2 linked regions of the Arabidopsis thaliana genome follow. The protein of the gene in region 2 interacts with the protein of the main gene of each other region in a pairwise test. Each region holds a gene or a part of one and is shown on either strand. Other genes may lie near its edges.

What was found.
Region 1: the proteins of AT4G37280 (region 2) and AT3G54390 interact in a two-hybrid assay, tested with the Arabidopsis thaliana proteins (one large-scale study listed by BioGRID).

What each region holds. Positions count from the first base shown.
Region 1 is NC_003074.8:20,132,767-20,143,388, forward strand, and holds AT3G54390 (sequence-specific DNA binding transcription factor), read right to left. Parts: upstream 6,479-10,622; 5' UTR 6,232-6,478; coding exon 6,203-6,231; exon of another isoform or gene 6,117-6,202; coding exon 5,582-6,116; intron 5,521-5,581; coding exon 5,146-5,520; 3' UTR 4,972-5,145; downstream 1-4,971. Other genes in the region: SAC3C (SAC3/GANP/Nin1/mts3/eIF-3 p25 family), read right to left, coding at 1,219-1,383, 1,484-1,576, 1,882-1,978, 2,092-2,177, 2,269-2,487, 2,868-3,089, 3,379-3,479, 3,749-3,986; AT3G54400 (Eukaryotic aspartyl protease family protein), read right to left, coding at 7,525-7,880, 8,115-8,592, 9,390-9,833.
Region 2 is NC_003075.7:17,542,677-17,554,580, forward strand, and holds AT4G37280 (MRG family protein), read right to left. Parts: upstream 6,884-11,904; 5' UTR 6,687-6,883; coding exon 6,546-6,686; intron 5,954-6,545; coding exon 5,900-5,953; intron 5,791-5,899; coding exon 5,777-5,790; intron 5,687-5,776; coding exon 5,541-5,686; intron 5,438-5,540; coding exon 5,402-5,437; intron 5,267-5,401; coding exon 5,226-5,266; intron 5,044-5,225; coding exon 4,942-5,043; intron 4,766-4,941; coding exon 4,686-4,765; intron 4,595-4,685; coding exon 4,425-4,594; intron 4,343-4,424; coding exon 4,258-4,342; intron 4,166-4,257; coding exon 4,072-4,165; 3' UTR 3,901-4,071; downstream 1-3,900. Other genes in the region: HMA1 (heavy metal atpase 1), read right to left, coding at 6-222, 370-534, 687-792, 1,211-1,449, 1,812-1,924, 2,084-2,279, 2,368-2,514, 2,645-2,829 and 2 more; AT4G37290 (uncharacterized protein), read right to left, coding at 7,253-7,507; AT4G37295 (uncharacterized protein), read left to right, coding at 10,952-11,212. UniProt on the Arabidopsis thaliana protein: Chromatin remodeling factor. Acts as a 'reader' protein by binding to H3K36me3 and H3K36me3 to control histone H4 acetylation. Increases the transcriptional levels of the flowering time genes FLC and FT.

The sequences.
Region 1 (10,622 bases), on a different chromosome or scaffold from region 2:
GCATACTAAGCCGGTGGATGTCGGGCTGAAGCCAATTGAACCAATTGGACGGCCTTATCGGAAAATTGTAACAGACGGTTTTTGATACTACTAATATTAATCAGCTAACATAAGTAAACAATTTTTAATATTCAAAAAAAAAAAAAAAAAAAAAAAAAATATATCCTCTTCCTTCTCTCTTAAAAACAAAAGCACCGCTTCAATTCCGCCGGCGTTGTGAGCCACCACGGTCATGACGTCGGTTTGGCTTTTTGGTTTATGTTCAGTTATGTCTCTTTAAGTTGTGGTTAAGGAGATTTCTGGGTTGGTTTCGATTTCGTTTCCTCCTCAATTTCTCTTATTAGATCTATAGTTTCGATTGGTGATTTTGCAAATTAGCGTGGTTTTCTTCTCTGACTAAATACTCCCTGGCCTAATCACGATCGCTCTATGCCACTCACTGTCGGTGTTGTGGTGATTCGGGTTGGGTGACCTAATTTTGGGTTTCCTCACACAGCTTCAACAATACGGATCTAGGGCGAAATCCGCCCAGATTTTGGGTTCTTTCTACCGGTTCAAGTCGCATAGTCGATATCTCCGGCCACGGCGTTCTCGACGGTCTCTGCATGTTTAGCTGAGTTTCCACCGTCTGCCATCCAAAGTATCCCAAGGTTTTTCTTCTGAAGATTTTTAATTATCAAGTAAGGCAAGAAGATCAAATTTTCTTAAAGTGGGTGTCTCAATCTCCGACGAAATCTCCGATGCCAGTTAATTTTCGATCTTGGTTTATTTGGTTAAAGAGAGAACTATGTTTATGTGTAAAATCATCAATCATGTTTTATTTTGTCTTTCTACGTCGTTTCCCCATGTCGGGGCTTAGTGTCGGGGTTTCATTCCTCGCCGGCTTGTGTACCGGAGGATTATATCCTGCCGGCTTTGTCGTCCCGTAATTCACTCGGGTTTATGTATCTGATATGGTTTGTGCTGATAATAAAATTAGCTTTGTGAAAAAAAAAAAAAAGTAAACAATCAATCCTTTAACCGTATCCGGTCGGATATTTTCTAAGAAATGGTTTAGTCACCAAAATGTCATAACCAGTTGAACCCATTCAAGTTCTGTAGTTTACATATATATATGGATACTATCTGATTGATATAAGATTATATAACTTAGGTGTTTTAGAAATTCAATTTCTTCTTATCATAAGAGAGTATGAAGCATTACAACATGCAAGAGGTTCAAATCGACATCTTAATCCGTTCAATTCCAATCAAATCATAAACTTTGAACTTGTCCTCTGGACTACGAAAGGTTGACTGCTTCACGGGTAAAACAGTGAACCCATCAGGATCAGTACATGTCTCAAGACCACACTCATGGCATAAAGATTCAACATCCAACTCCTGAAATATACAAACTTGACTTATGACATTTCAAGTTTACCAACAATACGAAAATAGAAAAAAAAGACAGGGAAATATTTAGTCATAGGGGTATTATCACCTTCATCTTCAGGTTCTGAGATAACCGCAAGAGAGGATAGGGTTGAAGCTTGTAGCAAACATTGTTTATGTATTGGACAGCCACTAATCGCATCTTTTACCATGAAAACATTAAGCAAATGATCAACATAATTGAACAATTTACTGCAAATATCATTCCATGTATAGCCACTTTATACACACCCATATATTTGAACAATTTACTGCAAATATCATTCCATGTAACTATATAATTGCTTTACCATACCGGTAATATTTTCTAGTACAAACTTATTCTATATCATCTTTCTCATGTTTATTTTCATTTCATATTGCATTAGCCGCTACCAATTAAAGTCCCACAAAGACTATCCCTGAGAGCTAGGACATAACTACATATTTATATCCATGCAAGCTCACCTCTCTAATATGATGTTCACTTATGCAATACTGCAAGTATGTCGCCTCAGAAGCTGTTCTACTTAAGAAGTTCTTGTAATTGCCCATCCGATATAATCTGGAAGAAAAAATTAAGAGAAAAGACAGGTATCATTATACTTCAATTCATATTTCCTAAATTTGTTCAAATTAAATAACTCATACGCAAATGATTGAACAGCATAAGACTACCTTAAAAGGTTTCGTACAAAACATATTTCCTTGGATTTTACCAAAGCAAAAGTCAACTTGCGAAACCATAAAGACAGCGGTTCCCCCTGCAGATCATAATCTCAACGATTTCTATCAATGGCAAAAAGAAGGTGACATGATAACAAATTAATAAGGAGAAAGAAACCAGAAAACAACCATCACTCCACTACTAGGATTGAGATGAAGCAGCACATAGAGTGAGCGGAACTCGGCTTCATTTTCGTAGATATAGTCCGGTTTTCTATTTGCATCATATATATTATACAAAGAGGTAAGAGTTTTTGCTAGCTGCTCCATGTTCAAGTGATGCATTGAGCTAATACTTGTACCACTACAACTTTGAAGCCTCTCGTGAGATATGACATGAAATTTTACCTGTTACAGAAGCCATTCGGGAGTCAACAATAATAACATCAACGGAACTCTATAGAAAATAAAACAAACTGATGATTACCAATCAGAAGAGGATGATCAATCAGAGTGGTATATATTTCTATGAAAATTACAAAAGAAGAAAAATGATCCTATTTGAGCATCCTGATTAAGATTACGACTATGTAAACTACAATCAACACATTAAGTCAAAATATCTTAAACTTACAAATATTCTTTTGGTAATAGCAGAGGGTTAAACACACAAACGACTGTCAACAAAACCCAAGGAAAGCAATTCTAAAGACAAAATAGACATGCTCAGTGTAATTCATTTACCGAACCAGGAAAGAGAAAAGAGTTAGAAAAAAGTCAAACCATACCATTTCCTCATAAAGGTAGATCACTCTCTCATTGGCCAAATTCTGGATGCTAAGATCTTGTCTAATAGACCTTGTCCTATCGAAAATAAAATCATGAACCACTTCAAACGGGTGCTCCTTGGAGTCGAGCAAACTTAGAAGGTATCTCAGGGTTTCTTCTAAAACTGGGAGCGGTCTTACATCCGATGCCTGAACATCCGCCGCTGAAAGGGTTCTGCAAAACTAGCAAGAACACAGAAAGAGAGTATAAATGCCGTTGGTATTGGAAAAAAATGAACCTCATTGCATAGCAGCTGGTATCTCCCAATAAGTAGTACAAACTATTCATCTTGACCAATAAGTTATGGATTCTAATTTGCATAGATGAAGAATTTCAACATCAAATTTCTTTCAATAACAAGTTCTCTCGAAGAATAGATACGACATGTCAAATATAGAAAGCTGAAGGTGAAAGTTTCCCACATTAGCACCAGAGACATGAAAACTCAAAGCTGTACAATGTGAACCGCACCTTTTTGACAGCTATCTCTGTGGATGATTTTGAGGGGTTTCCATAAAGCCTCTCAAACACTGCAAGATCACGCAGGCGTTCTCTTGTGACTCTTTCCCTCTCTATTGATACCAAAAACAACATATTAGATGAAGCTGTACACACTCTTTTTGGTACTTCAAGTGTAATTTTTTACCTAAACCCCTAGCAAAAGATAATTCTTTGTTCTGAACTGCCGATGCACGGAAGGATCATGAATTGATGAAGGGAAAGTACCTAATTGACCTAAGAACTAGATCAAATCCAATTCAGGTGCAGGATAGGGTTGAATTTTAGCGGAATCTCAGGTCAATTGGTAATTTATCTGCAGCTAACGTAGTTCGATGATTACCTGGGCACATAGAAGAACAAGTTCCTACAATCAATGAAACGTCAGCAGGATCTTCGTCTTTATGTTTTGATTCGTCTTTTTCATTGTTTCGTTTGTGCGGTGCATCGGATCTTCTCTGAAAGGATTCATTAACTCCGCCGCCGGATCCAGTCCTCGGGTTATCAGAGAACTGGCGGTTCCCATAAGTATTCGAAACCCTAGAAGAAGAAGAAGAAGAGCCACGATTACGACGATTCATGGCTTAGAGGGAACGAGATCTTCTTCCCTCCCAAGTCCCAAACCAGACTCTGAAGAAACGAACCAATCAAAGCTGTTACCGAACTATTATTTGGAATAAACCGGAAGAGAACCAAATCCGGTACAGTACTCTCAGCGAATTAAATCTGGCGGCAACCGGGTCAATTTAATTTACACCGGTTCTGACTTGTACACAAATTTGCATTTCTACAAATGCAGCATTCAAAATTCAACTCAAGTAAGAATCTAGAACATTTCACATTTCCCTACACTTTGTAATTTACATATATAGTTTTGGAAAATTTGATTTTAAGTTTTGTTTTGTTTTTCTTTCCGGTTTTGCAGATTTTCTTTTTAAATCGATACCAAATCAAACCTTTCGTATACGGTTTGGTCTTTTTTTTTTGGGAAGAATATATGGTTTAGTCATTTGTGCAATTACGATTCGGTTCTGTTTTGTTTTTTTACAAACAATAGTCTAGTTAGATATATTTGAAGGAAATCAATTTTGATTTTGTCATTTGAGCATTTCATTTTTGGTGTTATTCTATTTTTTCCCACCCCTATACAGGCAAGCTTAGGCCGGTTGGTGGGTCTAGTAGTCACGGCCACTCTCTAGACAGCAGAGAACAATGTGTCCACCACTACAAATTTAGGTTTCTTTTCATCAACTATCCCTAACAAGAATCTAACTGCTAACATTCAAAACACATAGACTAGAACCACTAATCATACTATCATAGTGCAATTTCCCATCCAAAAAAAACTCCATATTAGAAATGCAAAGAGAAAAAGCTGGTTCATCTCCACTAATACTAGACAGTTGTCTCGCATTCTTTTGCTAAGACTTATTTTCTCTTTCACTACAATCTCTAACACGACCAAACTGATCGAACCGAACTATCTACCAAGCATTCTCTGTAAATCTCTACCTGAAGAGTTAAAACACTTAAACACACACAAATTTGAGACAGTATTAGCATCTCTTTGACTAAAGATTGATGATATTCATATGGCAAAAGCATACATTTGCTGGTAGAAATGTGGAAATCGCCATCTACCCCAGGAAACAATTATTGGTCTCTCTCTGAGAAATTTTGACAAAACAACACTTGGTATGTACACACAACATCTTGAGTCTCCAATATAAAAAGCAGAACTCAATTTCTTCCGATCCTTAATGAAGAATCAACACCTTTGTTCTGTCCAGAAGAAGCTGCAGCAGCAAAGATTCTAGCAATCTCTAGCTGAGTATTCGCCATTATCTCCGTCCGTTTCAAATCCAATTCTCCTCTCTTAGCTTCAGCTTCAGCTCTCATTCTCTCTATCTCTTTCATCGTCTCCATTCTTGCTCTCTCTGATCTCATCACCACCTCCGCTAACCACCGTATACTTCCGGCGATCTCTTCCTTCTCTTCTTTATATCTTCTCTTCACTTTCTTCCCTCTCACCTTCGTTTTAACCACAGGCGTACTACTGTCTGTATCCATCTCCGCATCTTTTTCCGGTTTGTTCTCCGGCTTGAATCCGTCTTCCTACACACAAAATAACTTCATTAGAAAATCTCCCAAATTTGGTTAGTTTAGGTGATCAGACCTTAGGAATCTTGCCGACGCCGTTGGATCCGTAAGAAATCTGCGGCGGATGAGCCACCGCAGGCAACGGCGGCTCAAGTAAGAGCAGAGGAACAGAGCAATTCAGAGGCAGAACAGCTTGAGGCTGAGGCTGAGGCTGAGTTCCACGTAGGAGATGATCAAGACGAGGATAAAGAGGCCAAGAGGAGCCATCAGCAGTAGCGGACTCAGAACGGTACCGTTTCTTCATGGACTCGATCTTGTTCTTGCACTGAGTCTGAGTCTTTGGTGACTTGGTGTGAGTGGCGCGTGAGGACACGTGTTTAGCCACGTCTTCCCAGTCTTGTCCCTTAAGCTTGGCTCTGTTTCTGAGAACCCATTTTGACTCATAAGCTTCGAGTAAAGTCGAAACAGCTCCTTCGCTCCATTCATCACGTTTTAACCTATCTACAACGACGGAGGAAGCAGATGGCTTCTTAAGCGATTCGTCGTGGTTGAGAGATTTGAGATTTTCTTGGTTAGATTCTCCGTTCTCCATATATTTTTTCTTCAGGTGACTAAAAACAGAGACAAGGACTCAAGAGTGTGATGAAAGGAGAAAGAAAGAGAAGATTTTAGCAAGTCTTTTGATAAAGATGGGAACCTTTTGAGAGAGTGAATGGAGTTAAACATATGAGAACTGTGTAAGAATACGCTGCTGCTCTCAAAACTAACCAATGAGTTTGGGTACACGCGTTTCTCGCATGTTCAATGGTCGTGCCTCGTGACTTAAAGCTAATGAAATTATGTTTTTCACTTATATTGTTACTGTCATTTTAGTCTTTGTTCCAATTTATGGTTTGTATAAAGATTACAAATACAAACAGAGAAACGCATAATTGCACCGGCTTTATACTTACCTTCACAAAAGTTAGTGGAGCAACCCGTCACACACACATACTATAGAGGAGAATAAAGAGAAAAATGTGAGAAAGTGGGTTACCATTGAAAAATAGGGTTTCTTTTCTTTTATTTGTCAACTTGAAAAAAGGTTTTACTTTTGATTTTATTTTTTCACAATAATGATTTCAAAAATCTTCTGATGCAAATGCTTTTATTCATTTAGCTATAAAAGCCTTTTTGTATGCTTTTTTTCTCTTTTTAGGTGTATGGTGGAGTGAGTCTGGCTGTTAGCGTTGATGTCAAGCCAAACCGCAAAATCCATTTGGCAAAGATGGGAATGAACCTAATGGAAGTGGGGTTTACACTTGTCACTCTCTCACCCATTCTATGTTCCACTCTTTTTCTTCTCTCATGTTTGCGCAAAGATACTAATTCGGGGTTGTTCCTTTTTCACTTATTGAAAGTGTATATCTTTCAAAACATTCAGAAATTTTGTGGGTTAGTGTTCACTAAAATCTTTGGTTAATTATCAAGTCATCCAAATATTACAAGTACCAAATATTAGGACAAGTCTTTAATTTTCACACCTTTTTTCTTACCTATATGAGAGAAGTTTTGTTGTAAGAGTGAATGTGTTTCCTCGTTAGTGGAGTATGATGAACTATGCAACTTCAAGGCAGCACATCGGACATTTTGGGGTCTACAAGATTATCATCGTAGATTTTTAACGCGCCATTTAGAACTTCTCAGTCTCATTTGGGTGATGAAAATGCCTTCCAAGGCATAATCATTTTTTGTTGACATTTTGGTACTTTCTCATGAAGTTGATGCATATGATTATACTTGGAAGTTGGAACATATATATATTTAAAATAATAAAGGTCCTCTGTTCCAGGCTTATTGCATCCGCAAATTCATGAGTACAATCCTTTTTGAACAGAGAACATCGAAAGAAAATCATACGAAAGATTTTACAATCGTTTGAGAATTAACAAAAATCATTAACTTATATAGTTTCCAAAATTCAAAAGTTCAAAACGCATTACGAAATCGACCGAAAACAAAAATACAAATCGATAAAACTTAGGTGCAAGTTTCACGGGAAATTCCGAGCCTGGAATTTGGAACGTCGATGAGAACTCGGTGGTTCTGTTGCTGCATACTAGCGATGACGTTAAGGACAGAGTTAACGTTGACCGGAGCTGCAGCCATGGCGAGGCAGCTGAGGTTACCTGCGGAGCTGTGGATGAGAAGGTTGTCTGGAGGCAGAGTCACGTTCATTCCGGCGAACATAAACGTCACCGACGGGAACACGACGGAGCCGGAGTAGCATGTGTCGAAACCTCCTAGTGAAGTTGCGTTTGCGTTCTTAACACGTCTCCTGAACTCGTTTCTCACCGCCACGTAAGCTGGTTCGACTAGCCTTGTGTAGACCGTCCCTGCGTACATTCAAAAGTGTTTTGTAATTAAAAATCAAATTTCTTTTCTAAAATATAATTTTTATATGAAAATTTGGATTGGCCATTTTTGTTTTGATTGTAAAATCATTTTTAGTCCAGAAATATCACGTGTTACGTGTGAGAGAGCAGAGCAATTAGGTTACTTCCATCGCACGACTTTTCAGTTCTCAAGCGAAAAATAAAAAATATTAAGGAGGGTTGAGAAGTCCATACCCGAGTCAAAGATGGTGCCGGCTCCGGTGGCCGGATCAAAGGCGAGTGCACTTGTAGGAATATCCACAATTTTGTTTCCGACACGAATCCCAACCAAGTTAACATAGTAAAGCGATGATCTTCTAGGGTTCTTTAACAATGGAGTGGTCTTGATCCGGATCGGTTGGTTCTTAGGTCCCAATCTTAGTGATCCGGAGAAATTGCTGGACTTACTATTAGGCAAGCAATACGAGAATGTAGACTGATAAAGATTTTGTGACTGTGAGATTAAAGACAATGGACCACGACCTAAGCCCATGAGTCCTTGCGCTGGCAACGATGTTCCACTAGCTTTGTTGATGCACCCAAAGGTGTAGTTTGGGATGACGTCACTGGCCAATGTTAGTGTGTCTTGTGTCAGATATGCTTCGATGGTTGAACCACCGTAGGTCATGTTGAAACCACATGATTTGCTTACTGTGCAACTTGGATTTGGAGCCTGCAATAAAAAAAACTCTTTATTGATTAATATTTAGAATTTTTTTTGTTCTTTGAGTTTAACAACGTATTTCCATAAAGAATTGTTTTATCCATCTTGGATCTGGTTATTAAATTGCGCTACTAACGATGTGTTACGTTATTTAATTGCAGTTGTAAGTGGCGTTTTTGTATTATAGGCAAAACCTAACTAGCATGACGACAAAGTATATATATAGATCAAAGTTCAAACAGTAAAATATGCTCTACTAGTTGGATTGTTTATAAATTTCTTGTATAAATAATAATATACCCGTGACTTAGACTCATGGTACCAAAAGGTCCAAAACCCGTGACTAGACTTCTCGATCATGGTGTAATAACACGCCAAAAACGAAGTTCACATTCACATCTTTTGTGTAGATGGATCCAAAAATTGACGTAGAGGCATTCACATTACGCCTGACATTCGGTTCGTATTTCGGTTTTGGTTTTAAATTTCTTGTTTTGTTAAAAATAATCAAGTCCAAATACTAACCATTTTTTTTCTTTCGATTTGAAACATTTATGTATGTTCTGATTAGATCTTGTTTTGAACAAAGTAAAAATGCGAATTATTTGTTAGTATAATTTAAATGTATTTTTTGTATATCGATTTTCCCGGTTTATTCAGTACAAAAGTATCGTTAAGTATGAATGTATGATATGATTCAAAAAAATTACGTTGAGTATAGTTTTCATTTTTCAAGTCCATCCAGAGAATGCATGCACATATCTAATTTATACGGAGGGTATAACTATAAAGCAATATTTAGTTACCTGTTTACACTGAGGAGCTTCGCATTGAAGAGTACGAGAGGAGCTTGACTTGGAAGGGTCAAAGAGAACAGAGGAAGAACAGCCAACGCAGCCAGAACAAGGAATCCAAGCAGCGTCATTGCTAGTGTCAAGAGCCACGAGCATGGGCTGAGCCGGTGTCCCGATGTTAGCCCTCACGATGTAAGTCGGGCTCTGAACGATGGCCCGACCAGAGGCGATTGGAACTGATGATTTCCTAACGCCAGCGAGGCTTGACAAGTATAGGAAACGAGCCTTATCTTGAAGAAGTGTATCTGCCCATGAAACAGAAGTTTTGAATGGAGAACATAGACTGTTAATGTGGAACACTCTTAGATCTGAGGAATGGCTCTTTTCATTGCAGTTTATGGATTCAGATTTCAAGATTAAGAGAGAGATTAACAAAATCAAGAGATGGGATCTCATTGTTTAAGACCTTGATTTTGTCTTTGTGGTTTCTAGTGTTTGTAGAGTGAATGTGTGAGTGTGTGTTTATATAGTGAGTGATATACGATGAGTGTGTAGAAAGTAATAAGAATATAAAAATGAAGAGTGGGGTTTTGTATATCGTAGAGAGAACAGTCTGTATTCCATCTCCTATTTTTTCGTTGTTTCTATCTGTTTTTTGGGTCCACACTAATATTGGCTCTCTTCTCTATCGACATGCGCGTTGCTCTCCATCCACAAAAACTCATTACCCAAGGTGTTGTAATTTTTAGACTCATTATCGAATGGTAATCAAGTCAAACTGGAAGTCTAGCTGATTAATCGGTATATTGACTCTTAGCAAAAAAAAAAAAAAATCGGTATATTGATAAAACCGATTCTCATTCTAACAAAATAGTTACAGTTTTGATAAATATCCAATTTATACAACGATAAGGGAAATAGCAGAGGAACGTGTGGAGTGGTATTGTTTAAGAGATCCGAGAAACTGAGTTGAATTTTTTTTTTCTCAAAGAGAAAGATCAAAGGTTTCACGTGAGGAGTAGAAAGTGGAAGACCGACATAAATGCATTATGTATTGTTGCATATTATGGAATGTATCAAAACTACCCAATACTCATTACCATGTGGTGGGTTATATCTCACATTGGCCTCTTCTCCACTATGTAGTGCTGTCCATCAATTATTAAAAAAATTAATGGTGTAAAGTATCTTCATTGTTGTTTGTTTCTTAAGAGTTGAATGTGATATGTCAATATCCTCTATACT
Region 2 (11,904 bases):
ATCACCTGCTTCCCGAGCAATGTTCTTTACATGATTTAACTTATCCTCTGGCTTTAGGTTGCAGTAGACTTCGGTAATACCCACTGCGTTTGCAACTCTCCAAGCACTTGAATCATGGTCCCCAGTTAACATCATTACTCGGAGTCTGGCCCAGCTTTTAAGTTCTGCTATAACTCCTGACACCCCTGGACGAGGCTGATCTTCGAGGTGAATCAATGTTACCTGACAAAATTTAGTTGCAAGGCTCATAAATTTCAGTGTTACAGAGGTTTTTATGGACTAATAAATGGTCAGATGAGAGATGAAAATCACAGACTGTGAAGTAGGAAAGAGGTTTTTAGACCAGCTAAAGAAGTAGTCGTAGTATACCTTTTGATCAACAGAAAGAGCAGCATGAACGAAGTCCTTTCCGTACGAAGACGCGTTTACAGCATCCTTGATCTGTTTAGATTCATCTTCAGATTTGAAAAGTGAGGTAATGAACTCTATAGAACCAAGTGATGCTTTTCGTAATCTACTCTCTTCAGCTACTGTCTATTACAAAACCAAAAAATGTGGTGAGAGACAACATCATATATATTAAGAATGAAAGCCAGAGATGTACACACATCACCCACAGCTATACACTATAAAATCTGGTAGATAAATGGATATATATAAGAATCTAGTAAATAACTGAGTCTCACCTTAACACCGTTGACAGTAGCAGTAAGGCCTCTACCAGGAAAATATTCGAAGCTTTCAACAAAAATAGAAGGAAGATCCTTACCCACACTGTGATCTACAACAGCTCTGCAGCAAGATGAAATGTGTCAGAAACAGCAGAAAAGACCTATAGTACTCTTCAGTCTCAATCTCTTACCAGACCAAGCATCATTTAAACTAATAAACCAGTGTAAAAACCAGTGTAAAAACCAGAGATAGAGAGCTTCATAGCGTTCAAATTTGCTTTTTCCCCTTCCTTTCATCCGATTGTGGTAATGAACTAGAAATAAGAATAAGTTCTAGATGTAGGACTAAAATTCTTTACGTCAACATATCTCCTGAAATGAATGTACCATCCAACAAGATAACTTATTTCCCATGAGTTATAGACGCGCCACAGTACTAACTATGTGATGATGGGATGCACATAGGTCACAACTTGCATGGTTTTAGAGTTTGTGGTAATTAAGTTTTATACTAGTAATTGATGCTAAACAAGCAATACCTTCCAATAGGATGCGTGGTGCCCTTCTCCATGGCAGCCGCAACTGCAAGAGCTTCTTTTTCACAATTTGGAATGCAGCAAGTTATTACACTTGAATTAGTTCCTCCTTGGTGCCCATAAATGGGTTCAATTGCTTTACAAGTAAGGCCGCCGGTTGTTAAGGTACCAGTTTTGTCAAAAGCAATAGTATGGCAAGACGCAAGAGCATCTAGAACCTGTGCACCTTTCAGCAATATTCCCTATAATAGTTACACACGGTGGGGTTACACACTTACACGTGAAGATACTACCTTTACATAGCAAAAAAAAAGGAAAAAGAAAATAAACCATGTTTTCAACTGGATTTGGACAAAAGGAAAATGATATCAAATAGTTAGTTGAAATATGGTGGTCTTCATAGATAAGACGATGTTGTTGCATATGCACCATTCATTCCTCACCATTGACATTTGATGCACATAAGATTATTTAGCTTATAAAGCTTAATTTGCTACAAGAGAACATATACAAACCAATGCTCAAAAGTGCAATTCTGCAAAACATCACAACGCCAAGAAAGCTAACATACACTTGGTGATCACGTAGAGTACTTGAACAATACCTTTCTTGCACAGGAACTAATAGCAGTAGCATAAGCCAATGGAGCTACGGCCAGAGCACATGGTGATGCGGCCACCATAAGTCCCAATGCTCTGTAAACAGATCCTCTACATGCTGCATCATTAACAAGCAATGAAAGTAAGCCAATCAATTTTCCACTCTTATCAATTGTCCAAATGGTGATATATCTTATTAAACAACAAGAATAGTTTGTCACATCAACAATGATTTATGGTAATGTTAAGAAGGGAGAACTTGATCCTGACATCTTACCTGCGGTGCTGAGAAAAGGCCACTTGAACAAAAATGGACCTAGGAAGGCAATTGCAAGTGACAAAACAACGACAACCTTGCTGTAATTCTCGCCAAACTCATCCAGCCATCTCTGAAGTTTGGGTTTATTAGAATGTGCTTCCTCGGTCAGCTGTACAATCTTGTTAAGCGTCGAATCATTCCATGCCTTTGTAGCCTGATTTAGAAATTCCATGGATTGAGATAAGCATGAGGATTTCAAATAAAGAGACAAGCCAAAGCAATGAGAATAGGATAAAAAATACCTTTACAATCATTCTGCCATCCAAATTTCTTGCACCACCAGGCACTCTATCTCCAGCTTTTGCCTCCAACGGCTTGACTTCCCCAGTCAAGTGCTCAATTGTAATTGTAGCACTACCTTGATAGACTTCGCAATCTACAGGCACAATCTAAATGGAAAAAAAAATTCCATTACTTAACAGCTGCAATTGTAACCCTGCTAAAACTAAACTAATGACATACAGGGTCACATGTTTAAGAAATTCAAGTAATGAAAGCAAATAGAAAAGTTTCACAGACCTCACCAGTTCCAACCAAAACATAGGATCCAACTTCTACGCTGTGCACAGGAACGCTTTTGTATGACAAATCAGATATATTTGGAACATTGCCATTGTGTACTTCGATCAACAATGCAGAATCTGGATTACTCTCTTTCAATTCTTTGACATCCACCATTGATCGACTAGTAAAGAACTCCTCAGCTGCAGAAAAATGACAAGACAAAAGCTCAAACCTCTCCGTCATGATAAACATTAACAATGACATATCCCTAATCCTTATTAAGGTCAAGTTCTAACCAATATGAGCAAGATTGAACATAGCTAGAAGCAATCCTCCTTCCAAAGCATTTCCCATAAACACAGATGCAAAAGCCGCAAGTGCCATCAAGACATGGATGTTCACTTTTCCTCCAGCTATATCCATAAGTGCGTCGAGAGATGCTGAAACCTAACAACATCGATGACCATAAAGCTAAATTACTAAATCATCTGGCTAAATTATAAAACTAGCAAGGAGCTTTATAGAGAAGGCTATAGAAAACCTTACTCCAACAAGAGGAAAACCAACAATCATGAATGCGTTCTGAAGAGACTTAATGTAAGGTTCAGGAGCAAGGTAAGGACAGACGGCGGCAGCGAGGAACATTGCAGCGGCGGAGCAGCAAAGATGAAGATGCTCTCTGAGGTAATTGGCCAATCTAACCCATCCGATAGCTTTAGCGAATCCGAACAACATCTTCTGAGGCTTACTCTCCGCTTTCAATTCCACAGAACAGCATCCGTGTTGATGGTGATGATGATGGTGGTTGTGATGATCTTGCTCGTCATCGTGATGATGATCGTGATGGTGATCTTCGACAGCACGTAGACGAATCGACCGTGGTGGAAGATTAAGGGAAGCAGAGATACGAAGCGGTTTTTGACGGAGAAGAGTTTTAGGTGGAAGAATTGAGAACGAGTTGACTCGAGCGAGTCGGAGAGTGGATAAACCACGACGATAAGGGAATCTAGTAAGAGAGGAAGAACGAGTAAGAGTTGCAGGTTCCATGGTCGACGAATTTGAGCTCAAGCGTCGTTTTTCATGCCACCATTGATTCTGATCTCGCGAACTCTGCGTGTAAGAGTCGTTCGTCTTGGTGAAAAAGATGAAAGAATAATAACAGAGAAGGAGAACCAATGTAATTATTCCGATGACATTAGCCACATAAATAATCTCATCTCATACACTTTTTTATTTTTTCCATTTTTTTTGTTGCCTTCTACCAACCAAGGTTCCATTGTTCCGGATGTTTTATTGACCACTTAAAGAAATTTACATGAACCAAATAGTTAACTTCAAAGGCCTGTAAAATATTTCATATTCAGCTGCAAATCTTACAATTATGAATTCATCAGAAAAATGAAGGAATTCTAAATTACAACAATATTTTTTTCCTGGAGATGTCAGTCGTCTTTTCCTTTGCCTTTACCATCTGAAACCTTATCAGAATCATATGCTGATGGTAGCAAGAAAGTGCTCTGATTCTTCTGAATAAACCTGTAAAGATTTTTTTCCAGAAATTGTGAATTTAACCGTTAAAACCGAGAAATCAAAATGGTAGTGATGAAACAGAGAGATTAGATATATACTTGAGGAAGTCTGATAATGTTTGTTGCATGCGACTCCATGTTTCTTCTTCCATGTTTACATATGAAAAAAGATCTGGCAACTTGACTGCAGATTTTTAAAAAAAGCAAAAATAAAATTTCAGAACATCGAATTTTACTGTCCAAATAAGAACTTAATGAGATTTTACCAAAGAGACGGAGCAAATGCTCGGCGCCATAAACAGTTGAAGGTGAAGTATCATCCACGATTGATTCTTGGTATTGTCGCCTCTCTTTCTTATATAGGAGCATCACTGGCAATGCCTTGTCGAAATAACTCCTTATGCCTTTCAATATTTCAGCGACCGAATCAGTTACCCTGCACAAAAACAGAAACACAAAATTTTGTATCGTTGGATTTCGGAAAAGATTCAAATATATCAAACTCTGTGTTCGAGTAAAAGACTCACATTCCATCCTTCTTGGTTTTGAATTCAAGGTACTTGGACAATATCTCATCGACGTTAGGTGAACGAGGAAGTTTCACAACCTATATAATCATTTGAAGACAGATTACCAAACATCAATTTCCCTTCACTTTGGTATACACAATTCATTCGACTACAAATACACACTTATGTCTCTTAACTTTCAAGTCTAGCTGATTCAATAACAATTCTAATAGTGCTAAAAGTATGTGCACAAAATAGAGAAAATTGATGATACCTTGTCCTTCTGCGCAATATACTCCCAGTCGTCAGTGAGTTGCTTTTTAAGTGATGCGGGAATTTGGATCTTCATTAGCTTCTCCGCCGTTACATTATCCTTCTATAGATTACAAATGAAAACAAAAACCTTATCGATATTAGAAGACCTGAAAAATTGACCCTTTTCGTATGTGTGTATATGCATAACAACACATCAGCCATCTATTGTACTGTAAAATATAATCTTAACAAAGACCTAACAGGTATGAACCAAATACATCTCTAAGTTTTTGCAAGCCTGACCTCATTGCCTGACTCGTGCTTTCGTTTCTTCCCTTTTGCAGCTGCAACAGAAAATGTAATCATCTATACACCAGCTTAAATAATTTAAGTTGCACCCAGTCTACCAAATCATTTCCTTGGAAATTGTTGGGAGAACCCTGAACTACAAAGGGAGCGTAAATTAATATGTTGCCTACCATTGGTCTTGGTGTCATCTTTATCAGCCTTTGTGTCTGCAAGTGCAAGATCAGAAAGAAATAGTTAGTTTCTTAGCCTGGATGACCAAAATATGTATCATGTACTCTCAGCATGGTCAATGTGGAGGCAACAACTCACCTGCAGAGCTTCTAGTTTTTGTCTGAGCGGAACGGCCAGACTTGGTACCTTTTTCAACTCCTTGCTTTTTGTCTAGAGCTTTCTGTTTGACAAGATTCTCCTCGGTATGTTTCAACAATCTATCCGCACTAACCCATTCATCCCAACTGTTGGCAAGACAATCATGTCATGGGTCCCAATCTACTGATTTTGCTACATAAACCAGAATCGACATGAGAGCAGAGAGAGATACTCACTTTTTGTTCCAACCCTGCAGACAAAGATCGCTGTATCACTTATTACTGCAAACCAAAATGAAAATAGCTAGTACATGAAACAGGATAATGAAACTATAATAGCTCAGAAGAAGGAGGCCTCACAAGATAGTGCACAAAGTATTTCCACTCCTTTTTCCGAAGCTCGACCTTTTGAACCTGTAATGGAATGTCAATAATCTATCAGGTCTGCCCACACACTGAAAACACTATGCAATAACAGATTTTTTTCAAAACTATGAAGATTTAGCATAACAACGACACACATTTGATATGAATGAGACTCAATCCAGTGACCTATATAATATATGATTGAAAAAATAAACATGCAAGTAGATTAGCTTGCCCTATTTTCCGAGTAATTTATTGAATTCCTTGCTCCAACGGCAAGTGAATTATTCTTTTGCATCTATTACGACTAAGCATTTATGATCATTCCAATCTAAAAAGCTCTAATGCTACATGAATCCATTACCAAAAAAAGAAAACTCGAATCCAATCTCAATGGGTTCATCTTTCGGATCGTCGTAACTTGAAACCGAAATCTACCAAGAAACCCCTAAGCCAAATCTAGCAGAGAGATCTCAATTCAATGAAACCAGTTAATTCCGTAGTCGGATACAACCAAAACCCACGTGAAATACAAGAATTGCTAAATTAACACGAACAAGATAATCTCTAGAATTCAAATTATGCGAACATCTGACGATGCACAGAGAAAGAGAGAGAGAGAGAGAGGTTTTTTATTTGCCTTGGCTCCGTAGACGCGAGGACCATGGTAAGCGAGAACACGCTCGCCCTCCGAGAAGAGTCTGCCGTCGTTGGACGGTGAGGCGCCACCGCTCGCCGTATCTCCGTCACTCGCCGTCTCTTCCTTCGACGAGCTTCCCATTGTCACCGAAAGCGAGAGCGAGAGGCAAAGATCTTCACATCACAAGGCACCCCTTTAACCGTCTAGATAAATGAATCTACGACAACTGCTGAATGACTGAATCGTTGCGAATAGTTTTTCAATTGAGTCCCTTAACTTTCACAATAGTTCGATTAAATCTCTTAAACCTTTTAAATATACTCGTCGCCCATTTATAAAGCATTGTCTTTTTAAAAAAATTTATGCCTTTATTGGTCGTTGAGCAGTTGGACTCATATTTCACTTTGGACACTGATGTTTATTAACTATTATTACATTCAAATAAATATAAAAAAATTGATTAATACATTTTATTTGTATACTTTTCAAGTAACTTTATTTCACTAACAAAACAATAATCCTAAATATAGAAAAATGAGACAATAATTATTGTTTTTGCCATTCTTCTTCCTATGTATCGATCAGAAACATGAGACATGTATAATATTTTCCACTAATGAAACTGGAACAAAAAAATGAAATAATTTTCTCGACCTAGATGGGTATGGGCACTTTAACCGGCCCGGTTTGAACTAAAGATTGAAACATTAGTGGCCCGGTCCGCTTGGGCTTGGACCTGAGTGCTTAACAAATCGAAACGTATCCTTCCTGTCCACGACCTTATGACCCTCGCCTGGACTTGGACCTGAGTCTTTGATCGAACCAAGTGATAAGCCATCGAATAAACTAGCCACGAACTTCTCCTCGGTCTTTGTTAGACCAAGCGGACGACTCTCGACAAGAACCGAACCAATCAACATGAAGAACAGAATCGAACTCAGAACGTTTTTGTTCATCATCATGTTTAAGAACAATTTAACTCTGTTTATAAAAAATATGGTTTTCTTTCTCTTTGGCAGATAATGAATTTTGTTGTGAGTGTTTTGTGAGTTGAGAATGTGACTATATAGTAGTGTTCGTGGAGATGCAAAGTTTGAATTTTTATTCTTGACTAAGTTTGAATTGAAAAGAATGTGATCATTGAAATTAGTTAGTATGCTGCTTCCTGGGAAAATACCAACTTGTTTCTTGAGCATTCAATTTTGTGTGTATTTATTGAACACAAAATAGTGAAAGCCATCAATGAAGAAAAGGATAAGGAATTGAATATTAGAAATAAAGAATTTAATATCGTAGACCAAACATGAAGTTTCATTGTTTGGAGCAGACGGCAGCTAAATATTAAGGTAGATTTGTAGTTGTGTAGACCAAAAATAATGCTTGAATTTCAAACTCGCAACGTATATAAAGTCACACTCACATATATCGTTAGCCGGTTTAGATTTGGTTTTCGTAAGTATATTATGGTATATTGTTGGTTTCAGATTGAATTTGTTTACTTTATTTTACTTTACTAGAAAATGTACATCTCTAGCTTTGGTTTCGTTTCAACTTTCAGCCAAATTTTTTATATATAGAAAATAAATTTAAAATCAGATAACTTGAATTTTTTTTAAAAATTTGGTTAGGGTTTCTGGTTCGGTTAAACCAGCTGATTTAAGGAGTGACATAAGCTAAATTGACTATGAGTCGGATCTCATGTGTTTGTTTTATAATATTGTTAGATACACCAAACCTAATCATCAATGCTTCAAAAGTTCAAACACTTTGGTGTTATTTTTCTTGCACGACCAAAAATAGTTCCTTCTCACGTGATTTTTCTTGCAAAAAACATTGAACAACCAAACTTTATACTACTCAAAATTCAACATCCAAATTTTAGTTTTTGTTAGGTAGAAATAAGAAATCTATCCTATGAAAAGACAAAACCATTAATTTTTATTTCAACTCTTGCTGCTATATGACGTTGAATTATGATAATTTTTCCGTCTCAAGTTCATAAACGATTTTTCAAACAGAGTTGTGATGAAATTTATTTATTTTCTAAAAAAAAAGGAAGATTGATAGTTTTGAAGAATATATTATTGATGGTAGCCAAATAATTTACCGGAATAAAGTGTAATATCATCTCAAACTGTTCCTTTTTATAGCAAAATCGCTCCTTTTTATCCGCAGTTAGAGTATAAGACAAAGAAACCAAATTCCAGAGCATCAGGAAACTCTTTCCCATATTTTAAGGTGAAATCACTATTTTGAAATTATTAACTTAGTTTAATAACCAATTATTGAATAATACAAACAAAGTACTTAAAACCCGGTTTAATGTTTTATTTCGATTTTATAAATATTGGTTTGGCCAAAATAATATAGTTTATAAGTGGCGTAAGACCACGCCAGAATAATACAAGAAGAAAAAATGTTTAACTATGTATAGTTCGGACGTGGTAGTCCATTAATAATGGAATCAAATTCTGCATTAATAAATTCATTATCAAGATTCCAGTCTTTTGTATTCCTTCCAATTACATGAAATTAATATAATTCTTGAACAAATATCTTTGGACAAAAGAATTTCAATTATTTACTTAAATCTATATAAAAGCAAATCTTTAATCCATTCAAATAGCAGATATGTATCTCTAGGGATTAAGGTAGTATACAACTATAACATCTCAAAAGAACCAAATTGTGACTGCACAATGCAATATCATAATTTGTATATCGAAAACATGATATGTTCACATGGTTCGTCCATAAACAGTACTTATATTCATATTTGACCACTAAATATTTCACATTAAAAAATCGAAATTAGAAATAATTATGGATTTAGTTCTGCAAACTCGATTTTTTTTAAAAAAGATTCGAAGATGCAAGATTGATAATGAAATAAAATTGAGGGTACATCATACATGTGGGGGAAGTGACGTTTAAAAACAAAAAGGAAAAAGAGGAAGAAGATAGATGCCAATATTGTTATCATGACAACTATGAAGCAGAGTTAGAGTCCGTCCGTCCATACAAGTATTTTGTGTGAGTACCACCGAATTTGTCTGTCTATGTTATCTCCCTTCTTTTTCTCATGCCCACGAACCAACATGACAATTATGTTTTGTTCGTTTTTTGAAAAATTCTAGAGTTTTCATTTATTAATTATCGTTGAGTTATGATTTAGTATGATTTTGGTTTAAAAATTCCACTTCTTAGGACTCATTGTTTGATCTTTGTGTTTCTTATTTATTTCTTTGCACAGTACTAAAAATCATGCATTAGTTCTTACCATTCACAAATCTTCAAAACTTAATTAGAAAAAGAAAAAAAAAAATCGATCAATACAATGAAAACGTTCTCCTATGCACTATGCAGAACAAGTCTCGAGGATTCGTATGGTCAAATTTATTCCGATCAAATTATTCGCGAAAGTGTGAGAAACAAATACGTACTTTATTTCTCTTACCTCCTCCTACGTCACTTCTACGCATTCGTGCCCTACCTTCATCAGTACTCTTCCAGTTTCTAAAGGTTAAAACCGAGTCGATGATCCACGACCGTAGAGTTAAATCAAGTAATCAACTTAAGTCATTGTAATAAGAAAGCCTCCGCTCAAAAAAAATTCTACAATATTAGTTTGACATAAAACTTCAAATGATAGAAATATGAAATCAAATAGTTGTAGACTTGTAGTCTAGTACTTTCATTTGGCTCATTTGGCAATTGCAAAGTTTACGTGGTGATTACTAAACTCCTTGTCGGTATAAATGTTTTTGATCATGAAACCATATACCGAAAATATTGGTATATATAGTCCTGCCTAACTCCACTAACAAAAAGTCAGGATTTTTAAATTACCAACTACAACTTGAATTGTCATTTGGAAGATTGATTCATTGGAATATTGTGTATCTTAAGCCATAAACAAATCCCATAATTTAATAGTGTGCCAGAATTTTGTATTCATATTTTAAGCAGTAAAAACAAAAACAAAATACATATATATATTCTCAATCAAACTATAATACTTTAGATTTAAAGCTATTAAGAAAAACATTTAGCTAGTCAAAAAAAACAATTAACACTTTTCGAAAGGTCCATTTCCAAGGAAGCTAGAGACCGTCCTTTTTTACTAATTCGCCTGCACCATCCCCTTGTATCGAGGGTCTAATTCTACACCTTATTCCATTTTATATTCCCTAACAATTTTTTTAGTTTTTTTTTTTATATTACTTTAATTCTAATGAAAACTCCTATCTTCCTTCCTCTCCATCCTTTTTCATCTACCTTTGAATCTTTTGACACTTGTATATAAAGCTTTACTTCCTCCTTTGTTACTCCTTTTCTATCAATCACCAAAACACATTCATTGTCTTAAACCCTAAACCTCAAGAACCGAACAACCACACCAAAAAATGAGACCGGTTGGCTTGATCTTTACGGTCATGTTCTTGGTCTCGGCCTTTTCGGAATCAAGAACCGCGGATTGCAGAGTTCTCCTTGGTGGTTCGACGGAGGAAATCGATCAATCTAAAATTCATGGGGTCGATTTACGAAGTGAAGACTTATTAGGGGTCGTGATACATGGTTATAAGAAGCTAAGGTGGCTCTCATCGGCCGGGGAGAGGATGCATACAATGGCTTCAGGACCGAGCAGGAGAGGTGCTGGTCACTAAAATACGAACCCAAACAAAACATTATACTTCGATATTTGTTTAGCTCAGGTCATAGAATCATATTTTTCATTTTTTATAGATTATTATATTTATTCAGTCGCTAAAGATCCATGTAAAGTTTAGAAGGGTGATATTCTTTGATCATACAATAGTCGGTTTCCTTCTCATAAACACCAATTTATAGTACGTGCCCATTAATCGATATTTATTTTAGTTTAACAAATTTCAATTTTGAGATCTACGTTAAGCCATCAACCATGCAAATTGTATATGAGTCAATAATATAGATTGAGGAGATATGTTATCGGCCATTCTGGTGCAACTTAAATGATATACAGCCACATGATTATCTCTTTTCCTTTTTGGTAAGGTTGATACCACATGATTAATTATAAAGAAGACATTGATTAGTTCATGTTTTACCACATAATTGGAATTAAAAGTGGTCGCAAATTATAATCAAACGTGGTCGCAAATCGAATTTCGATGAGATGCAAACGTTTTTTCAGCTGTACCTTTTAATTCTTTTCTTATTTGTTCGAAATGTTGGCCTTTGGGGAATTAAAAGGACATTTCAAAAATAATTTATTGTCTTTCCATAGGAGCCGGAAATGGAAAAGCTTCAATCTTCATGCACACTATGTTTTGAGTGGACCCAATTTCGACAATCTTTTTTTAAATGAAGAAGATAA